Linked DNA regions of Oryctolagus cuniculus. The protein of the gene in region 1 interacts with the protein of each later gene in a pairwise test. Links are inferred from orthologs where the notes say so. Each region holds a gene or a part of one and is shown in the gene's direction. Other genes may lie near its edges. The genes, in order: FEZ1, PAM16 and PDCD7.

What was found.
Region 2: the proteins of FEZ1 (region 1) and PAM16 interact in a two-hybrid assay, tested with the Homo sapiens proteins (2 studies listed by BioGRID and IntAct). The link is inferred for Oryctolagus cuniculus from reciprocal best matches to the Homo sapiens genes FEZ1 and PAM16.
Region 3: the proteins of FEZ1 (region 1) and PDCD7 interact in a two-hybrid assay, tested with the Homo sapiens proteins (2 studies listed by BioGRID and IntAct). The link is inferred for Oryctolagus cuniculus from reciprocal best matches to the Homo sapiens genes FEZ1 and PDCD7.

The regions. Positions count from the first base shown.
Region 1 is NC_091432.1:118,688,614-118,695,997, reverse strand, and holds part of FEZ1 (fasciculation and elongation protein zeta-1), read left to right. Parts: intron 1-1,733; coding exon 1,734-2,005; intron 2,006-3,285; coding exon 3,286-3,366; intron 3,367-5,281; coding exon 5,282-5,357; intron 5,358-6,269; exon of another isoform or gene 6,270-7,164; intron 7,165-7,384. UniProt on the Homo sapiens protein: May be involved in axonal outgrowth as component of the network of molecules that regulate cellular morphology and axon guidance machinery.
Region 2 is NC_091450.1:31,256,116-31,264,191, forward strand, and holds the start of PAM16 (mitochondrial import inner membrane translocase subunit TIM16), read left to right. Parts: upstream 1-4,021; 5' UTR 4,022-4,134; coding exon of another isoform or gene 4,135-4,137; intron 4,138-5,690; exon of another isoform or gene 5,691-5,891; intron 5,892-6,434; 5' UTR 6,435-6,473; coding exon 6,474-6,509; intron 6,510-6,522; exon of another isoform or gene 6,523-8,076. Other genes in the region: CORO7 (coronin-7), read left to right, coding at 86-221, 525-616, 1,536-1,622, 1,727-1,732. UniProt on the Homo sapiens protein: Regulates ATP-dependent protein translocation into the mitochondrial matrix. Inhibits DNAJC19 stimulation of HSPA9/Mortalin ATPase activity.
Region 3 is NC_091443.1:88,136,602-88,144,748, reverse strand, and holds the start of PDCD7 (programmed cell death protein 7), read left to right. Parts: upstream 1-3,538; 5' UTR 3,539-3,588; coding exon 3,589-4,464; intron 4,465-6,285; coding exon 6,286-6,424; intron 6,425-8,147. UniProt on the Homo sapiens protein: Promotes apoptosis when overexpressed.

The DNA.
Region 1 (7,384 bases):
CTGAGACACTCCCGGTGGCTCTGGGAGCAGAGGCTGGGTGTGGCTGCAGAAGGAGGCCGGCCGGCCGTGGGCAAAGCAGTGGATCTGGCTGAAGGCCTTGCTTGCTGCATTCACAGCCGCCCCAATCGGGCCATTCTCAGCCACACAAAGGCCCCAAACATGCAAGTGTCCAGAAAGGGCCCATGGAAACAGCTGAGATGCAGAGTGAAATGGCAAAAAACAAACAGGAGGAGGAGGACATCTCCCAAGAGCAAAATAAAGGGAAGCTTGAGCCAAGTCAGCAAATATCTAGGCAAAGCAGAAAGGGAAAGGCAAAGGAAAAATGGGTTCTCAGTTAAAAAGAAAAGATACCGTTAAATGGGAACTACGTTTAAGAGATGTTCCCCAAATCTATTTTCAAACAAGAAGTCATAGGGGGACAAGAAGTTAAAGTTACCTGTTCCCATGGTGGTCTCAGGTCCCTTTTCTTTTTAAAAAGCATTTATTTCTTTATTTGAAAGGCACAGCAATAGAGAAAGAGGGATAGACAGAGATCTTCCATCTGCTGGTTCACCTTTCTCCAAATGCCTGGTCTGGGTCAGGCCGAGTCAGGAGCCAAGAACTCCACTGGGGTCTCTCACAAGTGTGGCAGGAACCCATGTACTTGCACCATCATCTGCTGCCTCCCAGGCACATCAGCAGGGAGATGGATTGGAAGCAGAGTAGCGGGGGCTTGAATTGGCTGTCTGATACAGGTGGTGCTGGTGGAGGAGGGGGTCTCAAGCCACTGCTTAACCTGCTATGCCACACTGCCCCCTCCAAGTTCCCTGTCTCTCAAAGTAGCAGACTGCTCTGTGCTGACTGGAAGCGGCTTCATTTCCCCTTGTACATCGCCAGTCTTCCTTGTGTTTTTTTTCTTTTTTCTTTTTGACAGACAGAGTGGACAGAGAGAGAGAGAGACAGAGAGAAATGTCTTCCTTTGCCGTTGGTTCACTTACCAATGGCCGGCATGGCCAGTGCACTGCAGCCGGCGCACCGCGCTGATCCGATGGCAGGAGCCAGGTACTTCTCCTGGTCTCCCATGGGGTGCAGGGCCCAAGCACTTGGGCCATCCTCCACTGCACTCCCTGGCCACAGCAGAGAGCTGGCCTGGAAGAGGGGCAACCGGGACAGAATCCAGTGCCCCTACCGGGACTAGAACCTGGTGTGCTGGCGCCGCAAGGTGGAGGATTAGCCTAGTGAGCCGCGGCGCCGGCCATCCTTGTGTTTCCTAAGCATTTGAATATGGGCACTGTGGCCCAGGTCTGTGATTGGAAAAGAGGCCTGATGATTTTGTTGTCAGCTCGGGGTAGATCATTTCTTGGGGATAAGCACTTCTCTATTGCCGTTCAGCACAGAAAATCTCTCTGCCTTCTCTCCCTCGATTCTTGACCCATTTCACATGAGGAATATTCTGGAGATGGAGAGAAAACAGGAAGAACAGGAGATCAAAAAACCTCATGTCTGTCCAGCACGTTTTTGTGCCCAGAGTCCACAGGCTTCCTTGGAGGCTGCCTGCCTCCTTGTGTCCTGGGAATGGCATTCTCTTCCACAGATATTTGGGCCCCTGCCTTCCTGGCCTGCCCTCAAATCAGGAAGGTCTTGCCTGGGCCTCTAGGAGTGGTTAGGGGTCTCTCTGAAGGGCAGTCCCCTCTCCAGTGGGCTCAGGCAGGATGTGGCTGCCGTGTCACCTGCAGGGTGCTCTTCCCCTGCAGGGCTGAGGCACATGTCTGGGTCAGAGCTGACCGAGCTGCTGGACCAGGTGGAGGGGGCCATCCGAGACTTCTCGGAGGAGCTGGTGCAGCAGCTGGCCCGCCGGGACGAGCTGGAGTTTGAGAAGGAGGTGAAGAACTCCTTCATCACGGTGCTTATCGAAGTGCAGAACAAGCAGAAGGAGCAGCGAGAACTGATGAAAAAGAGGCGGAAAGAGAAAGGGCTGAGCTTGCAGAGCAGCCGGATAGAGAAGGGAAGCCAGATGCCGCTCAAGGTACGTGAGCAGCCCCACCGGGAAGCCGGGTGCCCGTCCCCGGCCCCAGCCCTTTCAGTCCTGGTACCAACCCCACGGCGGGCTCGTGAGCAGGAACTCAGAGAGAGAGAGAGAGAGAGAGAGAGAGAGAGAGGTGCTGCCTGTCACCTCCACTCCCAGAGAGGGCTCCCAGCCTAATGGGAGGAGATAGGGCGGAAACATTGAAGTGTGATTGAAGGTGGCACCGTGTTCTCTGCGGTCAACACCTTGGAGATGGGTGAAGGCCTGGGAGCTCTGCATTGGGCACAGATTACAGCCCTGACTGTCTAATCAAGGGTGGCGCAGGGGTTGGTCTTCCAAGGGGTAGGTAAGGTGTTGGTAGGGAAGGGGTCTTGGTGCCTTATTGGTTTATTCATGGGATTCTTCAAGCCACTGGCTCTTCATCAGAGGAGTGCAGTAGAATCACCTAAGGAGGAGCTTTTTCAAAATACTTTTGCCTGGGCTCTGCCCCAGGGCCACTGACCTAGATCCAGGTGTGTGCATTTTGGAAAGAAGCATCTCAGATCAGGACAAATGCTTAAACCCTTTCTGGTAGCCAGACGATCTGTGTTCCCCTAAGATCTCGGCATCATCGTACAACTGAGTTTTACTGTTCTGCCTTCTTTTTCTATTTATACCGTAGAGAATCAAATGAGGAAGACTGGGGGCTGCAGAGAGCCTTGTAGCCCTGAGGGTCTTACTAAGATAAGAGTCTTTGAGACTACTCTATTCTTGCAAAGCTTAGGCTTAAATTCTAGCCAAGGTCTTTTTTTTTTTTTTTTTTTTTTTTTGACAGGCAGAGTGGACAGTGAGAGAGAGAGACAGAGAGAAAGGTCTTCCTTTGCCATTGGTTCACCCTCCAATGGCCGCCGCGGCCGGCGCACCACGCTGATCCGATGGCAGGAGCCAGGTACTTCTCCTGGTCTCCCATGGGGTGCAGGGCCCAAGCACTTGGGCCATCCTCCACTGCACTCCCGGGCCACAGCAGAGAGCTGGCCTGCAATAGGGGCAACCGGGACAGAATCCAGTGCCCCTACCGGGACTAGAACCTGGTGTGCCGGCGCCGCAAGGCAGAGGATTAGCCTAGTGAGCCGCGGTGCCGGCCTAGCCAAGGTCTTAAATTTACTTCCAAATCTCAGAGTCTAGGGGACAGCATGGTAGCCGGGGGAGGGGAGGGGTGTGGATGGTTCAGTGAGGACACAGGAGTCCCTGGGGGTGGGAGCAGCAAGGCCATGTCCCTCCTGAGTGTCTCTGTCCTGCAGCGCTTCAGCATGGAGGGCATCTCCAACATCCTGCAAAGCGGCATCCGCCAGACCTTTGGCTCCTCAGGGACCGACAAACAGGTACGCGTTGTCTCCCCGCTCCTGGCTCTTCTCCCAGACCCTTGCAACATGGCCTCCCCAACAACGTGGCAATGGTGGCCAACAAGGCTTAGCCCAGGATCTGGGGCGTATCCCAGCAAGGGGAAGGTCCTAGCATTTTGTGTCACTTGGAATATAAAGTACCGTTTCAAAAGGTAAACGTTACTTTTTTTAAAGTTATCCATCTTTTAATGTATTTGAAAGACAGATACAGAGAAAGAAAGAAAGAGAGAGAGAGAAAGAAAGAGAGAAGGAGAGAGAGAGAGAGAAAGAGAGAGAGAGAGAGAGAAAGAAAGAAAGAAAGAAAGAAAGAAAGAAAGAAAGAAAGAAAAGGAAAGGAAAGGAAAGAAGGAAAAGGAAGGGAGGGAGGGAGGGAGGCAGGCAGGCAGGCAGGAAGAAAAGCCTCCCATTGCTGGTATACTCTCCAAATGCTGGCAGCAGCTGTGGTGGGGCCAGGTTAAAGCCTGGATCAGTCTGGCTCTCCTAGATAGGTAGCAGGGACCCAACCACCTGAGCCATCACCTGCTGTTTCCCAGCGTGTGCATCAGCAGGAAGCAAAGACTTAAACACAGGCGCTCAGCAGATGTGGAAGGCGGGTGTCCCAAGCAGTGTCATAACCGTTGCCCCCAACACCTGTCCCTGCTTTTCTTTTGAGCTCTGGTATTCTGGGACATGGACAGAACTTACAGTCTGACACTGCTTGTAGACCTATGAATTAATTTGTCTTCAGGACAGAAGGCACTAAAAGAGGATGCTGTGGTGGGAGATCCCTTCCTAGAGTTTAATTAATTCTAGCACGTTGGATCACCAGCTGAGCAAATACCACCAAGACTGCCTCATCAGCCACCCTGCTCCGACTGTAACCCATGCTGCGGCATCTCCTCGTTGGCTCCGTTTAGTCAATAACTTGCCGACGAAGCAGCTTGTGTGCCTGGTTATTAAGGCAGCTGCACAACGATACTGTACGCCTGTTATGTGCTGAGCTCTGTGGCGAACCCCTCAGGGTCCGAGGTGACGGTCCTGCTCCCAGCCCTCCTGGGGTGCAAAAGCTAAGCGGCACAACCAGTGTAGGAGCAGACAAGTTAGAGACAGCGGAATAAGTGCCCATGAAATGTATATGTCTTTTAAATATATCTGTGGCTGAATCCTAGGTGTTAGAATTCTAGAGCTGCAATCTGGGGTGAGATTTTAGGAATTTATAATCCAGTCCTCTCCTTGCTTACGGGTGGGATACGAGGACAAAGAAATGAGACATTTTCTCAAGGCCAATGCTGCTGGTGGCAGAGCCAAGACTAGAACAGAAGCCTCTTGATATCTGTGCTACTTGTCTCTTACCCCCGCAGGCCCCCTTAGCACCCATCAGGGTCTCTCTGGCCTGAGGGTCTTTGACATCCTCTTGGGCCTGTTCTACTGAACCCGACCTTGCAGGTTTTGTTGTAGGAACACCTCACATCCAGCAGAGGGAGCAAATCCAACATCGGCGACCCTGGGACTGTGGAGGTTCTCTTCCCCCTCAATTGTTGACCTAAAAGAGAAACAATTCCTTCTCTAATTGCGCCCCAAAGGATAAGAAAACATAACCCCCCTGGAGATGCTGCCTGCTGTCAGCCTAGGGGAGAACCCCCCAGGCTTCCTCCACAGCCAGAGTTTCTAGGGCAGGAAGCACGTGGAATTCAGGATGCAGGGAAGTGTTCCTGGTTGAAGACAGGAAAGTCTCGCTTTTGTGAAAGGGGCGCCCCACCCGAAGGTGGGGGAGACATCCTGAAATACTGGGGTGCCGGTGACCACGAGGGTCGTGGAGAATGCCAGGTGTGTCTTAGAGAAAAGCACGGTTCCCACCCAGGGGGAGGGGGGGCCGTGCCTTACGTCTTGGCCGTGTGCCCTGTTTGTCTTGCAGTACCTGAACACAGTCATTCCCTATGAGAAGAAAGCCTCTCCCCCGTCCGTGGAAGACCTGCAGATGCTGACCAACAGTGAGTTCCTCTCGGCCTCGGCCGTCTCTCCCTCCTCCCCGTCCCTTGCTTGGTCTGCACTGTGTCTCTGGAGGAGGGAGCTCAGTCCATGGGCCTGACTGCCTTTTTTTTTTTTTTTTTTTTTTTTTTTACCAAGAACCAAGGTTTCGTGGTGGGGATCAGGCTGACGGGAAAGATAGGCAAGAATCTCTTTATAAACATTAACCAGTCCTTCCCCCAAAGGGCAGGGGGTGTGTGTGTGGTGTTAGCCATCAGCATCAGCGTGGCTCTCTTAGGAAGAAAAAAATCCTAGGTCAGGGCTCTGTGATCACAAGGGAAATTGGATTTCCCTGGCAACCAAGCACCATGGAAAATGGCAGCTCAGGAGGGGGTCCAGTATCCCGCAGGCTGCTCTGGGGGGAGGAGGGGCCGCGTGGGGCCACTGGACAGCTCGTGGGAAGGGACGGGGGCCTGTGTTCCTCTGGGCCCACTGTCAAGGTGACCAGTAGTCTTCTTTTTTATCCATGTGGGGAGTGAATGCCATAGGTTCTGGCAAAGAACCTGCATCCCTGAGAATCAGGAATTTTAAATTCCAAGTACATTGCTGTACTCCTGACTCATTTCAGACTCCTTTATTTACATAAATATGCTCTATAATTTTTCTGAAGGGAGCACATAGAGATGGACTGACGTAATATAGGTGTCTGTGTTTTCACGGCGGTACGTACTAGAAAAATAATTTGGGCAAGCTACAAGGGTTGATGGAGGTGAAGTACTTCATCATGGTCTTAAGCAAAAGGAATGGCTATTCATTTGTTACAGATACCTGCTCAGGAATTCAGTGTGAAACCCTTTTGTTTTCATGAAGAAGCAGGTTTGTTTCTGTTTGAGTGGGTTTGTTGACATCATTCGATTTGATTTTAAAAATCACAGCTCAAGTGCATCCATCACGGAGAGAACTTTGGAAATGTGGAGAAGTGAACAAAGAAAAATAATTTATTGCCCACTCCACTGTGGCTACCTTTGTGGTTTCCTGCCATCATATTTTATATCTTTTCTTTATCATTGGGATTATCCTGGCTATAAAATTTTGTATCATGATTTTAGTCACAGCAGTTCACATTTGGTTAGCATTTATTTTATGGCTGTCTCTTCTATCACGTGGATGGAATATACTTTGAAGTTTTATTCCTTTTAAAAGGAAAACTACCATCTTGCCTGAATACTGATTCTGTAGGAGAGCTCTCTTTTTTGGCAATTTCTTTTTTAAAAAAATATTTATTTATTTATTTGAAAGGCAAAGTTACAGACAGAGAGAGAGAGGGAGAGTCAGATCTTCCATGCAACTGGTTCGTTTCCCAAATGGTTGCAATGGCCAAGGCTGGGCCGATCTGAAGCCAGGAGTTTCTTCTGGGTCTCCCACATAGGTGCAGGGGCCCAAGACTTGAGCCATCTTCAGCTGCTTTTCCAGGCACATTAGCAAGGAGCTGGATCAGAAGTGGAGCAGCTAGAACTTGAACTGGCGCCAATGGGATGCCAGTGCCACAGGTGGCAGCTTTACCCATTGTCCACAGTGCTGGCCCGGAGTTTCCGATTCTTGATGTTACTTTCCAGCTAGCATAGGAAGGTGATCTTCCACATGGGGATTTTGAGTCAGGTGCCCTTCTGCACCTGCTGTTTTATTCTTTTGTTTGTGTTAACTGCTAGGCCACCATGCCAGGCCCTTAGCAAATTTTTGCATGCATTTGTGAACAGTGTTTCTTTCCTTACCACCTCCTTGTATCAGAGACATAGGCCAAAGACCAGCTCCTGCAGCTGGGCCATCCATGTAAGTTTGGGAATTTTTTTTTTAAAGATTTATTTATTTATTTATTTATTTGACAACCAGAGAGAGAGAGAGAGAGGAAGGAATATCTTTCATCTACTGGTTCCCTTCCCAAATAGCTGCAACAGCCAGAGTTGGGCCAGGCTAAAGTCAGCAGAAATCAGGAACTTCATCTAGGTCTCCCACGCGGGGGACAGGGGCCCAAGTACCTGGGTCAACCTTC
Region 2 (8,076 bases), on another chromosome or scaffold:
ATTGCCAGCTCTGCCCTGCCCCCTCCCGCCGGATGTGCCCTGGGCCTCTGGTCAGTGTCTCAGGCAGCCCTCCCTCCCTCTGCAGAAAGAGTTCTTCCAGGATGACGTGTTCCCAGCCACGGCTGTGACCTGGGAGCCCGTGCTCAGTGCCCAGGCCTGGCTGGGAGGCGCTGATGGGCAGCCCCGGATGCTCAGCCTGCAGCCCCCCGGCATGACCCCAGGTGGAATGAGGGACTGGGTCGGGGGAGGAAGCGGGGGGCTTGGGGGTAGGAGAAAGGGGCTGAAGGCCCAAGTCCAGTTGTCCATGCCTGCTGGCACAGAGGCCTCTGGCATTCCCAAGGATGGGGTGGCCGTGTCTCCATCGCACCCACACATTGTGGCGCACACACAGGCACACCCTGGTGCCCAGAGGGTCCGGTCACTGTTAGAGCCACCTCTTGGGTCTCTGCCACAGAATCGCCTGGGGCGGGCACCAAGCAGTCCACCCAGGGGACTGACTGAGGCCTGTCCCTGTTCTGCCCAAGTGAGCCAAGCCCCCCGCGAGGCCCCTGCCCGGCGGGGCCCATCCTCTGCACAGTACCTGGAGGAGAAGTCGGACCAGCAGAAGAAGGAAGAGGTAGGCAGCGGAGAGGGCTGGGTCCCTGCTGCGCCTGACTGTCCACTTCTCCAGCCCTGACCCAGGCTGGGAATGGAGCCAGGCGTCACACCGCCTCCATGCCAGAGCTCAGTAGGGAGACCCAGAACCCCACTGCTGGTCTGCTGACCTGCTGTTGCCTCTCCCCCTCCCCGTCCCCCCTGCCTGCCCCCGCACCCAGGACCACAGGAAGCTGGCAGGGTGGGGCGCAGTGAGAGGCCTCCCCTGGCCAGGCCGCCCAACCCGAGCAAAGCCAAAGGTTGGGGACCCAGGTGCGTGTGGGGTCCTGGTGTGCATCCGAGCGTCCGAGGCACTGACTGGAGATGCCGGCCCCTGTGTCTGGAGCCACGTGCTACAGCCTCCAGCTCTGGCCCTGCCTCTGTGTCTCCACACCTTTTTCAGTGAAAACCCATGACCTTTGTGCTTTTTCTCTGTTTTTATTCTTATTTCTTTTAAGATTTATTTTATTTTTTGAAAGGGAGAGTTACAGAGAGAGAGAGGGAGAAATGGAGAGAGAGATCTATCCACTGGTTCACTCTCCAAATGGCACAACAGCTGGGCTGGGCCAGGCTGAAGCCAGGAGCCAGGGGCCAGGAGCTTCTTCTGGGCCTTCCATGTGGGTGCAGGGGCCCAAGGACTTGGACCATCTTCTGCTGCTTTCCCAGGCCATAGCAGAGAGCTGGATTGGAGTAGAACGTCTGGGACTTGAACCAGCACCCGTGTAGGATGCCCGCATTGCAGGCAGCTGTTAACCCATTACACCACGATGCTGGCCCCCCTACAAGCTTTGCTGGGACCCTCATTGAAATGGCTCCTCACAGCATGGCCGGGGCTGTAGCCATGGGGCCTGATGCTCTGGGCCCCCCCCATCCCTCGGTCTGACCCTCCTCCTTCCCCCCAGCTGCTGAGCGCCATGGTGGCCAAGCTGGGGAACCGGGAGGACCCGCTGCCACAGGACTCCTTCGAAGGCGTGGACGAGGACGAGTGGGTGAGTGGCCAGTGCGCCCGGCTCCCCCCACCCCCACGCAGAGTGCGCCGCCTCCCTGCCACGGCACCCTTACCTCCCTCCCACTGCCTGGTCTGTGCCCCCAGGACTAGCTGACCCACCATCAGCTCCGGCCTCACCTGCTGCTGCCGTGTCCCAGAACCACACCCCACATCTCACTCAAACTGGAAGACGCCTCCCTGGCCTGGCATGCCGCAGCCCAGAAGCCCCTGGCCCCTGGGCCTCCTGCACCCCTGTGGACTGTCTTGCACCTCTGCTTTCTCTGGGCCTGGCTGCCTCACTTCAGCTGCCTGCTAGCATGTGGAGCCAAGGGTGCAGGGTGGGGGGTCCACAGCACGGTCCTGGGCAGGCCCTGGGCTCCTCATCTCCCCCGCCCTCCTACTGGTCTGGGCTGATCCCAGCCTGGGCAGGCCTCGGCCGGCACCTCGGGCTACCACCTGCCATCCCATCTTGCCCGCTGCCCCAGTTCATCAAGGACCTTGGGGGCTGGCCCCCCACCATGCCTTTTGGAGCAGCACCAGCCTCAGGGGCCGGGGACCAGTTGTCCTTTTCCCCAGGCTCATCAGGAGAGAAACATCTCAGAGGCACTGGTCCAGCCAGAGGGTAGGAGCCCCACAGGGACTGGCCACGGGTGCCCTGGATGTTCTCAGCAATTAAACCTGTCGCTGCCCGTGCTGTGCTGTGCTGGTCTCTGGGCTGGCTGAGAGGGGAGGGGCACAGTCGTAGGAATGAGCGGCTGCCCGTGTCCGGCTCGGCCCCATGCTGCTGGGAGTTTGCATACTTGACACACAGGTTTCCGGCAGCGCCTGGATGCTAGGACGTGTAGCGGACAAGAGAGACAAGTATTTCAGAGAGCTTCCGCTCACAGCCGTCTGTTCAGGGACCCAGGCTGTGTGCGAGAGCAGCCGTCCAGATGCCGCGAAAGGAAGTGGCTCCGTGCGGGGGCATCGTGTTCAGGGACGGAGGAGGTGACCCTGAAGCTGAAAGCTGCGCCCCGAAGGCCAGTGGAGAGCCGGCCGCAGAGCCTGCGGGGGGGGGGGGGGGGATCAAAGGCACCAGGCTGGGGGTGGGGGTGGGGGTGGGGCTGGCAGTGGTCCAGGGCACAGTCCATCAACAAACATGGGAGTGTCTGCCTCGCCGCAGACAACCTTCCAAGCCTCTGACATCCAGGAGTGGAGGAAGAGGTAAGAGTCCTGCCTTCTGGGAGGTGCTCAGAACGGGCAGGTGTGGAATGGTGGACAGGGGCAGGGCCAGGGGCAGGGGCCATGGGAATGGGGAGTGTCTGGCACCGAGAGATCAGAGTTTTCTGGAACTAGATGGTGCCGGTGGCTGCAGAGCTCTGAAAATACTAAAAAGCACTCGACTGGGCCGGCGCCGCTGCTCACTAGGCTAATCCTCCACCTAGCGGCGCCGGCACACCAGGTTCTAGTCCCGGTTGGGGCGCCGGATTCTGTCCCGGTTGCCCCTCTTCCAGGCCAGCCCTCTGCTGTGGCCAGGGAGTGCAGTGGAGGATGGCCCAGGTGCTTGGGCCCTGCACCCCATGGGAGACCAGGAGAAGCTCCTGGCTCCTGCAATCGGATCAGCGCGGTGCGCCGGCCGCGGCGGCCATTGGAGGGTGAACCAACGGCAAAGGAAGACCTTTCTCTCTGTCTCTCTCTCTCACTGTCCACTCTGCCTGTCAAAAAATAAATAAATAAATAAAAAATAAAAAATAAAAAATAAAAAAAAAAGCACTCGACTGTGCACTTTGAAGTGGTGAGTGTGGGGCGGGCACTGTGGGACACTCGCATCCCATGTCAGGGCGCTGGGAATGCCTGAGCTGAGTCCTGGCTGCTCCACTTCTGATCAGCAGTCCTGCTGATGCATCATGGGAGGAAGCAAGTGATGGCCCAAATGCTTGGGACCCTGCCATCCACGTGGGAGACATGGAAGAAGCTCCTGGCTCCTGGCTTTGGCTCGGTCCAGCCCTGGTCATTGTGGCCATCTGGGGAGTGAACCAGTGGATGGAGGATCGATCTCTCTGTCTCTCTTTCTCTCCTTGTAACTCTGCCTTTTAAATAGTAAAGTTTTTTTTTTTTTTTTTAAAGTTTCCCGTTTTATTGAATGCACCAAGGGTTTGGCATCTTCCTCCATATACTGGTTTATTTCATATAATGTTTTAGTTCCAACTATCCCTGCAAAACCAAGGGAATAAACTGCCCCACGTTTGAGCGAGGTGCACTTGCTGTCGCTGGTGTAGCGCGTGGACAGTCGGAGAGCAGCGAAGGTTCGTCCCCGGTTCCCGGTACGCCGAGGAGCGCGGGGTGGGGGTGGGGGTGGGGCCTCCCGCCGCACCCCGCCCCTCCTTTACGTCACCGCCGGCGCCCCGCCCCGGCCGAGCAGCGCGCATGCTCAGAGCGGCCTCGCGCACGCGTTCTCTAGCAGCCTTTGACCTTTGAGCCGGGGCCCCGGGGCAGGAAGCCAGCAGCGGCGCCCCTGCCTCAGAGCGGCCGCCATGGTGAGGCGCTGCGGGCGGAGGGGCGCCCGAGCCCGGGCCTGGGAGGGAGACACAGGCTGCGGGCTCCAGGCTGTGCGACCGCCGTGGATGTCGTGTGCCCGGCCGGAAGCAGGGTCGGGGAGTCCAGGGGAAGTGGCGGGAAGACCCGTGGGCACGGGGCCCTGGGGTCCTGCGACGTCGGTGTTGTCCCCGTCGAGAAGGTGGCTTTTCCAAGGACGTGGGAGACCTGAAGTGGGCCCCGAGACACCGAGAAGTGTGGGCGCCGAGAGCCGGGGCACGGGCCGGTGGGCGCTGGAGCGCCGGTTCTGTCCGTTCCCCACGCGGCCGCCGCGCAGGTGGGGCGGGAGGACGCGGCGGCCCGTGGAGAAGTCTCAGCGGCTTCTTCGGGGTCCTGCTGCTGGCGTTGCCGTCTTACGGATTAGCAGCCTGAAGCTCAGGTCCCACGGAGTCGGGGGCCAGTCCTGGGCGCGCGTTCGCCGCCGCAGCCTGAGCCCCAGCTGAGCTGGGAGCCCCGCTCTCTGCCAAGCAGAACGGCGCGGGGGGAGAAAGCAGCGAGTGCACGGGACAAGGCGACGTGACAACGCATAGAGAGGCGTGGGGAGGGATGAGTAGGGGCCTGGGAAGGCTCGGGGCGAGGGCTGAGTCCTGAGTTTCGACAGGTGGGAGGGGGGCGGATATTGAGGGTGAGTAAGGTGTGAGCGCCGACCTAGGGTTAGAGGGTCTAGGGGAGAGGGAACCGGAGTCCCCAGCTGGGGAGGGGGCTGACCCCTAGCGGCGGGGTCAGGGGGCATTCGGAAACCCTATCCAGGGGCATAGAACTATGGCCAAAGCAGAGCTGTGGGTGGCCTGGTTAAGTGTCGATCCTTAGCCACATTGATTCAGATGTGTCTGGGGCACCTGCTGCACCAGCGCCGTCCTGGGAATACTGTGATAAGTGCCCGAGTGGTGGTCCCTGCCCCACCCCGAGGGCTGGGAGCGTGGCAGGCAGGGTCTGGAAGCTGGCTCCTTGGAGCTTCTGCCCCACATCGGTTCTGATGGAGGCCCTCTGATTCCCTGGGGCGCGGGGAAGCGGCGAGGGTGACGTCCACCGGAACTGGAGTCTCCGCTCGGCAATTCTGGGCAGGTGACCCACTTGTACGTTCCCGAGTGCAGCCCACCCCTGCTTTGTCCGTGGCCCTTTTCCCGACCTCATGGCTTCACTCCCAGAGGAGAAAGCATCCGTGGTGCCCTTTGTGGGTCCCGGAGTCGGAGCCCCACGGCCCTGACCGGTGCTCACTAGCTAGCTAGACCTGAAGGTGGGTGCCACGTGGGCTGGTTTCTCTTGCTGGGACCTTCAGGCCTAAGTGTCAGTGGACTGTGGGGTGCCTTGGGGCCTTGTGGGAGGGATTTCAGCTGCTGGCTTTGATTATCCGTGGTCGCTGCACTGGCGAAGCTCGGCTCCCAGGAACCTGCTCTGAGCATGGTGAGGCCCAGAGATGGTGCTGGGAGGGTTTGATGGGCGCCTTCTAGCCCGAAGCACGGCAGCCGTCACTGTCTTCCTGTCCACTTCTGAGGGCCCAAGTCTTCTGTGAGGAGGGTGTTCTCTCCAGAGAAAACTGAGGTTCCGAGGCTGAGTCACCTGCCCAGAATTGCCGAGCCGAGACTCCGGTTCCGGTGGACGTCTTGGCTTCCCCGCGCCCCAGGGAATCAGAGGGCCTCATCAGAACCCTCCGCACTGTCTGGCCGTTGCCTCGTTTGTGACGTGAAGAATAGCAGTAAGTGGACCCCGGGGGACGTTGTGGCACAGCAGTTGAAGTCGCTGCGTGGGCATCTGCAGCTCTCACTGGAGTGTGGGTTTGAGTCCCAGCTCCTCTGCTGCCAGTCCAGCTTCCTGCTGATGCTGCTGGGAGAGCAGCAGCTGATGGCCCAGTTACTTGGCCCGTCCGTGCCACCCACGCAGGAGACCTGCATGGAGTTCCAGGCTTCTGACCCTGGCCTGGCCCAGCCCAACTGTTGTAGGATCTACAGAGTGAACCGTGGATGAAAGGTGTCCTTTTCCCCCTCTGCCCCGTGGCACGGTGACCTGCGGTTCCAGCTGTCCCAGGGTGGGGCGCCAGGCTCCCTACACTATCCCGGTGGTCAAGGGAGCTGCCCAGGTGGCCTCCTGGGCCACCAAGGTCCCTGTGGGAGCTGTCTTGTCTCTCAAGGGGGGCAGCATGGCGGGCACCGTGGCAGGCTCTGGGACCACCTGTGCGCACGTGCCAGCTGTGTGAACCTGGGCAAGTCCTCAGCCCTGATTGCAGTTTCCTCTCCTGTAGGCCGAGGCCAGAAAGGGGCTGTAACAGGGACTGCCTGGGATGACGCCTGGACGGTGCTTGGCATGCAGCCTAGCTGTAGGTGCTCAGTATTTTTTTTTTTTTTTTTTTTATCTTATTTGGCAGAGTGATAGGAAAAGAGATGGAGAGCTCTCCCACCCACTGGTTCCTTTCCCAAAGGCCCACAGTAGTCAGGGCTGGGCCAGGATGAAGCTAGGAACCTAGACCCCTGTCCAGGTCCTATCTCTGTAGTCTCAGTTCTCTATGTATCTATCAAGGTTTATTTACTTATTTGAAAGAGGGAGTTACTGAGAGAGAGAGGGAGAAACAGGGAGGTCTTCTGTCCACTGGTTCACTCCCCAAATGGCTTCCATGGCCAGGGTCAGGAGCTTCTTCCAGGTCTCCCACATGGGTTCAGGGGCATAAGCACTTGGGCCATCTTCCGCCGCTTTTCCAAGCCATTAGCAGGGAACTGGACGAGAAGTGGAGCAGCTGGGACTTGAACTGGGTCCTTTAAGGCATTGCAGGTGGAGGCTTAAACCACTGCACCATAACACTGACCCAAGGTCTGTTTTTTGTTTTAAAGATTTATTTACTTATTTGGAAGAGTTAGAGAGACAGAAAGAGAGGTCTTCTATCTGCTGGTTCTTTGCCCAGATGCCTACAACAGCCAATGCTGGGCCAGGCTGAAGCCAAGAGCTGCTTCCAGGTCTCCCACTGGGTTGTCAGGGGCCACGCACCTGAGCCATCTTCGGCTGCTTTCCTAGGCCGTTAGCAGGGAGCCGGATCAGCAGTGGGGCAGCAGGGACTGGAACCAGCGCCCATATGGGTTGCCGGCATTGCAGGCGGTAGCTTTACCTGCTGCACCACAAAGCCAGCCCCCAAGCTTCAGTTCCCAGCATGCATTGTGTGGAGCATCAGTCATTGGCCTTGTCAGAAAAGTAAAACAGTGATTACAAGGCCATGTGATGGGCCGTGGTAGCAGAGAATGAGGCTGCTGTGGGAGGCGGCCTCTGAGGCCTGGATGCCGTGACCTGCTGGCCATCAGCGCTCGACCTCAGAGCCGCCTGTCCCCTGTAGCAGTGGCTTTAGGCAAGAAGAGCAGGGTCAGATGAGATACACACACACCCGCACACGTGAGCCAGAGCCGCGGCTGTTCCTTGCCCCTGCCACCCGGGCTTGGCTTTCTGCAGTGAAATGTCCACCTAACTTGTGAACTCCAAACCCACTTCTGTATGCATTCCCTTACAGGCCTGTGGTCACATCCCGCCTGTTAGGGACGCTAGGTCCTTGGACGCCAGAGGCCGGTTCTGGAGTCTAGAGTCCAGTGGAGTCTGTGGAGCCCCTCGCTGGGCTTGCTCGGCTCTGGATCCCGCCGGGCGGCAGTGCTCGCTTGTTCCCGAGGTTTCCCTCTGGTGCCAGCTCCTGGAACCCACAGCCTTAGGGTGTGTGTAACCTCGCCCCTCTGCTTGTGAGCTCCCTCAGTGCAGGGCTCAGAGGCTGTGTATCTGCAGTCAGTGCTGGGTGGAGCACCGTGAGCAGTGGCCAGCCCTGAGCAGATGGGGCTGCCCTACTCTGAAGTGTTTGGTCCTTAGAGTGTGTGTCTGAATGCCCTCCTATTGGGCTTTCAGCTCCTTGAAGGTGG
Region 3 (8,147 bases), on another chromosome or scaffold:
AGACTTGATGCCAAAAAGGAAAAGCTCTGGAAGTTGGACTTCATCAAAGAGGATGAATAGAGGGGTGGGCATTGTGGCACAGCGGGGTGAGCTATCGCTTGTGAGCCCTGTGTCCTGTCGACCTGACTACTTGCTTTCCATCCAGCTTTCTGCCAGTGTGCTTGGGAAGGCAGCGGATGGTGGTCCAAGTACCTGGATCCTTGTTACCACGTGAGAGGCCAGGATGGAGTTCCTGGCTTCAGCCTGGCCCAGCTCTGGGTGTTACAGGGTTTTGGGGAGTGGACTAGCAGATAGAAGATGTCTCTGTCACTCTGCCTTTCAAATAAATCTTTAAAAAAGTAAGACAGAAAGGCTACAGGCTGGGAAAAAATAGTTGCAAACCTAGTATTAGACAAAGGGCTAGTATCTGGACTATATGAAGAACTCAACAGTGAAAAAACCCAAACAATTCAATTAGAAAATGGTCGAAAGACATAAACATGCTTTTGATGAAGAGGGTGCACTGATGGCAAACGTGAAAAGATGTTCAATAAAATTAGCAATTGAAGAAGTATAAATTAAAATGATGAGGGGCGGTCCTTTAGCTGAGCAGTTAAGGCAACTTGACTGGGTTCCACAGGGCTCCGACTGATGCAGATCCTGGGACGCAGCATTGATGACTCCAGTAGTTGGGTTCCAGCACCACACAGGAGAGACCAAAGCTCTCGGCTTCTGCCTTCCAACCCAGCATAGCCCTAGCCATTGTGGGCTTTCTGGGAGTGAACTACTGGATGGGAACTCTCTGTCTCTCAAATACATATATTTTTTTTCATTTGACAGGCAGAGTTAGACAGTGAGAGAGAGAGAGACAGAGAGAAAGGTCTTCCTTTCCATTGGTTCACCCCCTAAATGGCCAGTATGGCTGGCGTGCTGCTCCGATCCGAAGCCAGGAGCCAGGTGCTTCTGGTCTCCTATGCGGGTGCAGGGCCCAAAGACCTGGGCCATCCTCCACTGCCCTCCCGGGCCACAGCAAAGAGCTGGACTGGAAGAGGAGCAACCGGGACGGAATCCGGTGCCCTAACCAAGCCTAATGAGCCGTGGCACCGGCTCAAATATTTTTTTTAAACGATCATTGAGATACTACTACATATGTACCAGTATATCTAAAATGAAAATTGTAACACAAAATGACAGATGCCGAGAAGCCAGAGCACTCATATACTTATTGCTGGTGGAAGGTGCAAGGTATCCGGCGCATAACAAATCTTCCCAGGCAGATAATTAATTCATAGGCTTTTATTGGGGTTCCGCTCCCGGGCGAGGTTCACCGGTCCCAACAGAGCAACAGAGCGGGGGCCGGAGAAGTTGCACGTCAGAGGTTGGGAGGGCTCCTTTTATAGACTCAGGGCATGGGGGTTAAAGGTTGAGGCGGGTCTGATCCTCATTGGTTGACCTTTAGGCACCCGCGGGGACCTTGACAAGGACTTTTCTTCCCTGCAAGTACAGGTAGGGGCTTCTCCATTCCCGGAAGTATAGGCCTCCCTACTTGCGGATCCCAAAGCTACCAGAAGGTAAAGTGGTCCAGCCACTCTGGAAAATTACTGGGCAGTTTCTTAAAATAAACATACAACCACCACATGACCCAGCAATTGCACTCCTGGACACTTTATTCCAGAGACGTGAAGTTTATACTTCCTTTTTTCTTGAAGAACTTTCTGCATTAACAGGAAGTGGGAATCTGAAGTGAAGCCAGGACTCAAACCCAGGCACTCTGGGATGCAGGCATGCTTCTCTTTCTCTCTCTGTGTAACTCAACTTTCAAATAAATACATAAATAAAATCTCTAAAAAATGCTTTATAGCAGCTTTATTTTTTTTTTTAAGATTTATTTACTTATTTCAGAGGTAGAGTTAGAGGGAAAGACAGAGAAAGGTCTTCGATCTGCTGGTTCACTCCCCAAATGGCAGCAATGGCAGGAGCTGGGCTGACCCAAAGCCAGGAGCCAGGAGCTTCCTCTGGGTCTCCCACATGGGTGCAGGGGCCCAAGAGCTCGGGCCATCTTCTGCTACTCACAGGCACATCAGCAGGGAGCTGGATTGGAAGTGGAGCAGCCAGGACACAAACCGGTGCCCATATGGGATGCCGACATTATAGGTGATGGCTTTACCCGTTATGCCCCTATTTTTTTTTAAAGATTTATTTATTTACTTGAGAGGTAGAGTTATAGGCAAAGAGAGAGAGATAGAAAGGTTTTCCATCTGCTGGTTTCTTCCCCAAATGGCCCCAACAGCCAGAGCTGGGCTGATTCAGGTTGTGATATTGCACTACAGTTCTGCAAGAAGTTTCCACCAGGGTTGAAGCATACATATCATACATATGATCTCCCTGTATAGCTGCCTTTTTTAAAAAGATTTATTTATTTATTTGAAAGTCAGAATTATAGAGAGGGCAGGGAGAGAAAGAGAGAGAGAGAGAGAGAGAGAGAGAGGTCGGTCTTCCATCTGCTGGTTCACTCCCCAGATGGTCGCAGAGCTGGACCGATCCGAAGCCAGGAGCTAGGAGTTTCTTCCAGGTCTCTCTCCCAGGGGCCTGAGCATTTGGGCCATCTTCTACTGCTTTCCCAGGCCATCAGCAGAGAGCTGGATTGGAAGTGGAGCAGCTGGGTCTTGAATTGGCGCCCATATGGAATGCCGGTACTGCAGGAGGCAGCTTTACCCGCTATGCCACAGCGCCGGCCCCCCTGTATTGCTTCTTAAAACTGCCCAGGAATCCACAATTCTCAAATTATGTTTAAAATACAATCACGTTGTACGGCCTTCCTTCACCTCCTGTTTCAAGTCAGTGGTTTCCTGTTGTTCTTAGTGCTCCATCCACACTGGCATTATCTGAAAGTGCCCGCAAGGGCACACACCTTTCTGTGCTATCACCTGGGATTGTGCTTCTCCCTCTTCTATTTAACTCCTGTTTCTCCTTCAGATTGCAGATGAAGCCTCAAGTCCTTAGAGCAACCTTCCCAAATCGCTTCCACTAAGTCAAGTACTATCACACTTCTACCTTCGCATGACTGCTTGATCAAAGGGTTTTCTTTCCCAGACAGGGCCACCCCTAGGTCTTTGTTTCACTGTGCCTATGGCGCCTAGCTCTGCGTCTAGCACAGTAATTAAGAAAGGAGAGTTTTGGGGGCCGCCACAATGCAGCGGGTTAAGCCACAGCCTGCAGCTTTGGAGTCCTGGCTGCTCCACTTTCCGATGGCGCTCCCTGCTAATGTGCCTGAGAAAGCAGCCGAGGATCCGCAAATCCTTGGGCCCCTGCACCCGCGTGGGAGACCCAGAAGAAGCTCCTGGCCCTGGCTGTTGCGGCCATCTAGGGAGTGAACCAGCAGATTTAAGATCTCTCTCTCTCTCTCTTTGTCTCTTTTAAATAAATAAATAAGGAATGAAGAAAGAGAGAAAAAGAAAAACGAAAGCTTTAAGATTGAATGAGCGCCCACTCCAGCGCGCCGGGCTTTCTAGACAGGACGCACCGCGTCGCATGTCCAAATACGTCACTTCCGCCCGGAAGACGCTCCCTGGGAACCAAGTTCCTGTCACTTCTCAGCATCTTGTGAACATGGCCCTGCCGCCCTTCTTCTCCGCAGGTCGTCCGGGCCCGCCGCCTCCGCAGCCACCGCCCCCTGCTCCGTTCGGCTGTCCTCCGCCGCCGCTGCCCTCCCCGGCTTTCCCGCCGCCTCTTACCCAGCGGCCCGGCCCTTTCCCGGGGACCTCTGCCCCCTTCCTCCAGCCTCCGCTGGCTTTGCAGCCCCGGGGTCCCACGGAAGCCTCCCGTAGCGGCGGCGGCGGCGGCAGTGGTTCCTTCTTCCCGGTGCCGCCGCCGCCGCCGCTACCGCCGCCGCCGCCCCAGTGCCGGCCCTTCACGGGGACCGACGCTAGCGAGCGCCCAGGGCCACCGGCTCCAGGCCCGGGGCCTCCCTGGAGCCTGCGCTGGCCTGAGGTGCCGCCACCGTCCGACGTGCTCGGGGACGTGGCCCTGCAGCGCCTGCGCGACCGGCAGTGGCTAGAGGCTGTGTTCGGCACCCCGCGGCGCGCTGGCTGCCCGGTGCCCCAGCGCACGCACCCGGGGCCCAGCCTAGGCGAAGTGCGCGCGCGGTTGCGCGGGGCTCTGCGCCTGGTGCGGCGGCTGCGCGACCTGAGCCAAGCCCTGCGTGAGGCCGAGGCCGACGGCGCAGCCTGGGCCCTGCTGCATGCCCAGGCCGCTCCCCTGCGCGCCGAACTAGCCGAGCGGCTGCAGCCGCTGACCCAGGCCGCCTACGTGGGTGAGGCGCGGCGGAGGCTGGAGAGGATCCGGCGCCGCCGGGTGCGGTTTCGAGAGAGGGCTCGGGAACGCCAGGCCGAGCGGGAGGCGGAGGCGGCCCGGGCAGTGGAACGCGAGCAGGAGATTGATCGCTGGAGGGTCAAGTGCGTGCAGGAGGTGGAGGAGAAGAAGCGGGTGAGAGCGCTGGGCACGTGCGGGCCTTGGAGGTGGTGGCTGAAACTCGAAGCAGCCTGAGACTTTCAGCTGTGGTATTTTTCAGGTCTAACCCGAATGTTTCTTTAGCCATAAAGTGAAAAGATAGCCTTCCCGCCTCGTACGTCCGTGTTCATTGGGTATTCCTGGTGTGCAGAACACAAAACAAAAGCTCTAGTAGTGTTTGCAATAAAGTCCTGGCGACACAGGTATGGGACTTCGCAGTGGCGTCGCTGGCCGACAGGTCCCTTGTGGCCTGCTCCAACGTTCTCTCCACTGAGCTTTCACGACCCACACGGGGCTGGCTGCGTGCCACCCGCGCTGATTTAAAGGACAAAAAAATATAGGGAACTTGGGGCTTTACCTCGAGGAACGTACGTCCTGATTGGCTGATGGGTTCACAGTGATTGCCGCAGGATTCCTTTGTTTACGACGTTTAAACCATGAATCACCAGGTTCAGCAGTGGTGTTTTTGAGTGCTTACTATCATGTACGCATGAGGCGCAATGCTAAGCTTGTTACACACCAGATCTCGAATATACCAATCCTGTGGGGTAGGGAGAATTATCCCAATTTCACCATTAGGCATTTGAGGCATAGAGAGGTTAACTTGCCAACAGTCACGTGACCGGACTGTGAGCCCAGGTGCTCTGATTACCAAGCCTGTGGCTCTCAAGCACTTCAGTAAGGCCTGCAGAGAAGTGGAAACTGGCCAAATAGTTGTTGAATGCATTTCACCAACTTTGAAGGCTTCTGGGGTCCCTCCCTCCCCACCATCGGCTAGTGTCTTCCTGCCCTGGAGTCTGGTGTAACTTCACTCTTAAGTGTACTGATGGGAGCTTTAGCATTGCTCTCATTGCTGTAAAGGAGGCACAAGTCAGTCCAGTGGACAGTTCATGGGGCTCTGTTGTGGCAGGTCCAGTGCAGCTGCTAGGAATGGAGATGAATAGGATATAGCCCTGGCCCTTGAGGGTCTTAGAGCCCCATGGGGGATCCTGTCAGTACAGCATGGTGTGTGATGCTATAGGAGCCCAGAAAAGGGGTACTTAAGCCTTGGGGGAAAGGCTTTCTCGATGATTTAATGGCATCTGAGATGAGCCTTGGAGGAAATGTCAGAGCCAAATGAAAGCAACAGGTGCGGCTCCAGGCAGAAGTCAACCAAACAGAGGAGTGAAGCAGCGTGGTGGGGGTGGTGGTGGGGGAATTACAGGCGCTTACTTGACTTGTGGGACAGAGCCCAGCAGGCGGGTCCTTCCTGCTGTCCACCACGTGTTGGAGCCTGAGGAATGACTTAAGGAACTGGGTTATTATATCCCACGGGAACCAAGTCGGAAAGAATGGAATAGTGGTCTTTTCGGTGTTTGTGAGGGGGCCACGTGAAAGAGATCCGTGGGGCTTTAGGGCTATATTGGTCATCGCTCAGACACCTTGGTAGAGTTCTGGGCCTCCCCAGCCCCAATCCTTCTGTCTCTGAGAATCCGAATCATCAGGACAGTTGGGTGCAGATGTTCCCTGCACTGCCCTTTCAGAAGCACTGAGGCTGAGCCAGAGCAGTGCCTGTGGCGAAGCTGCCGAGAGCAGAGGTTCATCTTTGGGATGACGGTTACTGTCCCTCCGTGGAGCAGGGAGCCCCTTGGCTGGAACGTTGTGGAGGGAAGTTGTGTCAGGCCCCGGAAATTGAGATGTAGACTCAGCGGGTCTTGCCCCAGGGACTGGCTGATCCCCCCAGATCTCACCACCAGGCAGCCACTCTGCTGGGAGTGTGTTCCTGGCGCTAGGCTCACAGCCGTGTTTCCCCTACAGGAGCAGGAACTCAAAGCTGCAGCTGATGGTGTCTTATCTGAGGTGAGGAAGAAGCAAGCAGACACCAAGCGAATGGTGGACATTCTTCGGGCTTTGGAGAAACTGAGGAAACTGAGGAAAGAGGCTGCAGCAAGGAAAGGTAGCTGTGGCTTTGCGTCCCCCCCACACACACACCTTTTTTCTTTCTTTCTTTCTTTCTTTTTTTTTTTTTTTTTTTACCCTAGTGGCTTCCCACCCCAACATTTTTGGAAGAAAAATACTTTATTATTTTCACTCTTTAGAGTCACTGGGAGCCGAAAGCCTTGGAAGATGTTTAGCCCTTGGACAGCAAGGTTGGAAGGGGAGGCAGGTGTGGGAACCCCTTGACTCACCGTTCCTACCCCAGGCGTCAGTGGCCACGCTTTTCTGAATGGGCTTGTTGTGGCTGGTCAGCTTTGCCAGCGGGCCACGGCACAAGCTTTCCTGCCCGCCCTTGTTGCTCCACAAAGTGTTGGAAACGTAATGTGCTCCTTCGGCTACATCTCATGCCTGAGTTACTGCGGTGTGAAGAGGCGTGGCCAGCTGGACAGGGTGGAATACATTGCAGAATGCACGGATGTCCCCAGCTTCCCTGATTGTTGCTTTTGGGCTCAGAGGAGGGAGCACCAGCACCCTAGCGGGGCAGTCCAAGTTTCTTCACAGAAGTTTGTTCTAGGCATGCTGGTTTTCTAGAAGTCACCCAGGCGTGCCTTCCGCTTGCATGTGTGGATCCTTGTTCTTGCCAGTGCATTTGTCTGCAAGGCCCTCAGTCCCGTCTTTGCCATTTGAAGATCTCCCCGTGATTCAGAACTGAATACCGTGCGGCCTCCTCCCTCCTTGGTCGGGCCGCAGTGACCTCACACTCCATTTGTGCTTGGTTTGTCCCATGTTGCCTTATTTAGTAGGTTCTAGGCCTCTGACATTTGCCAGGGAGATTTGGAAGTATACGAATTAACAAGTGCTGTTGTAGCAGGTGATTTCCTCTGTGTGGTTTAAAATGTGAGGGTACTTCAGAAAGTTAGTGGAAAATGGAATTAAGATGTTTTATTTTTATACAAAAATTGTTTTGAAATCCAAGCATAATGTTCCCATAATATGCATTTTCATGAACTTTTTGAAGATACCCTTGTATGTATGACCTTGGAAATTTTTTTATACCAAAGTAAACTTCTCAAGGTATTTATTTTCATTTTTATTTGAGAGGCAGAGAGAGACATGTGGAAAGAGATCATCCATCGCTGGTTCACTCTCCAAATGCCTACAACTGCCAGGGCTAGGCCAGGCTGAAGCCAGGAGCCAAGAACTCGGTTCCAGCCTCCCACATGTATTGGAGGACCTATTATTGGAGCTGTCGCCTGCTGCCTCCCAGGGTGTACATTAGCAGGAAGCTGAGTCAGAAGTGAAGTAGCCAGGACTTGAACCAGGCACTCCAGTATGGGAGATGGGCATCCCAAACAGCAAGTTAACTGCTGTGTTACACACCTTCCCCCAAAATAAGCTTTCAGTTGCATTTACCACAGCCTTTTTGAAATACCCTCATATCAGTGAAAACTGCAGTTCTCTTCGATCCCTCATAAAGTTTTGGAATGTGACCCTTGTGCATTCAGCCAGCTTGTTCACTGAGCAGTACGACAGCTTTCAGCGTGGCTACTTCCCATCCTGGCCTTGGAGTCAAACCCCCCTCCCCCAACCCCTGAGTGCTGATAGGTGCAGCTGGACATCTAAGCATGACCACTTCACAGACTGTTTCATGGGCCACACTAGAATTCTCGCTTGTACTTAAAGCTGTGGGGAACCACTCAGAGATCTTAGACAGAAAGTGAAATGATGACAGAGTTCAGTGC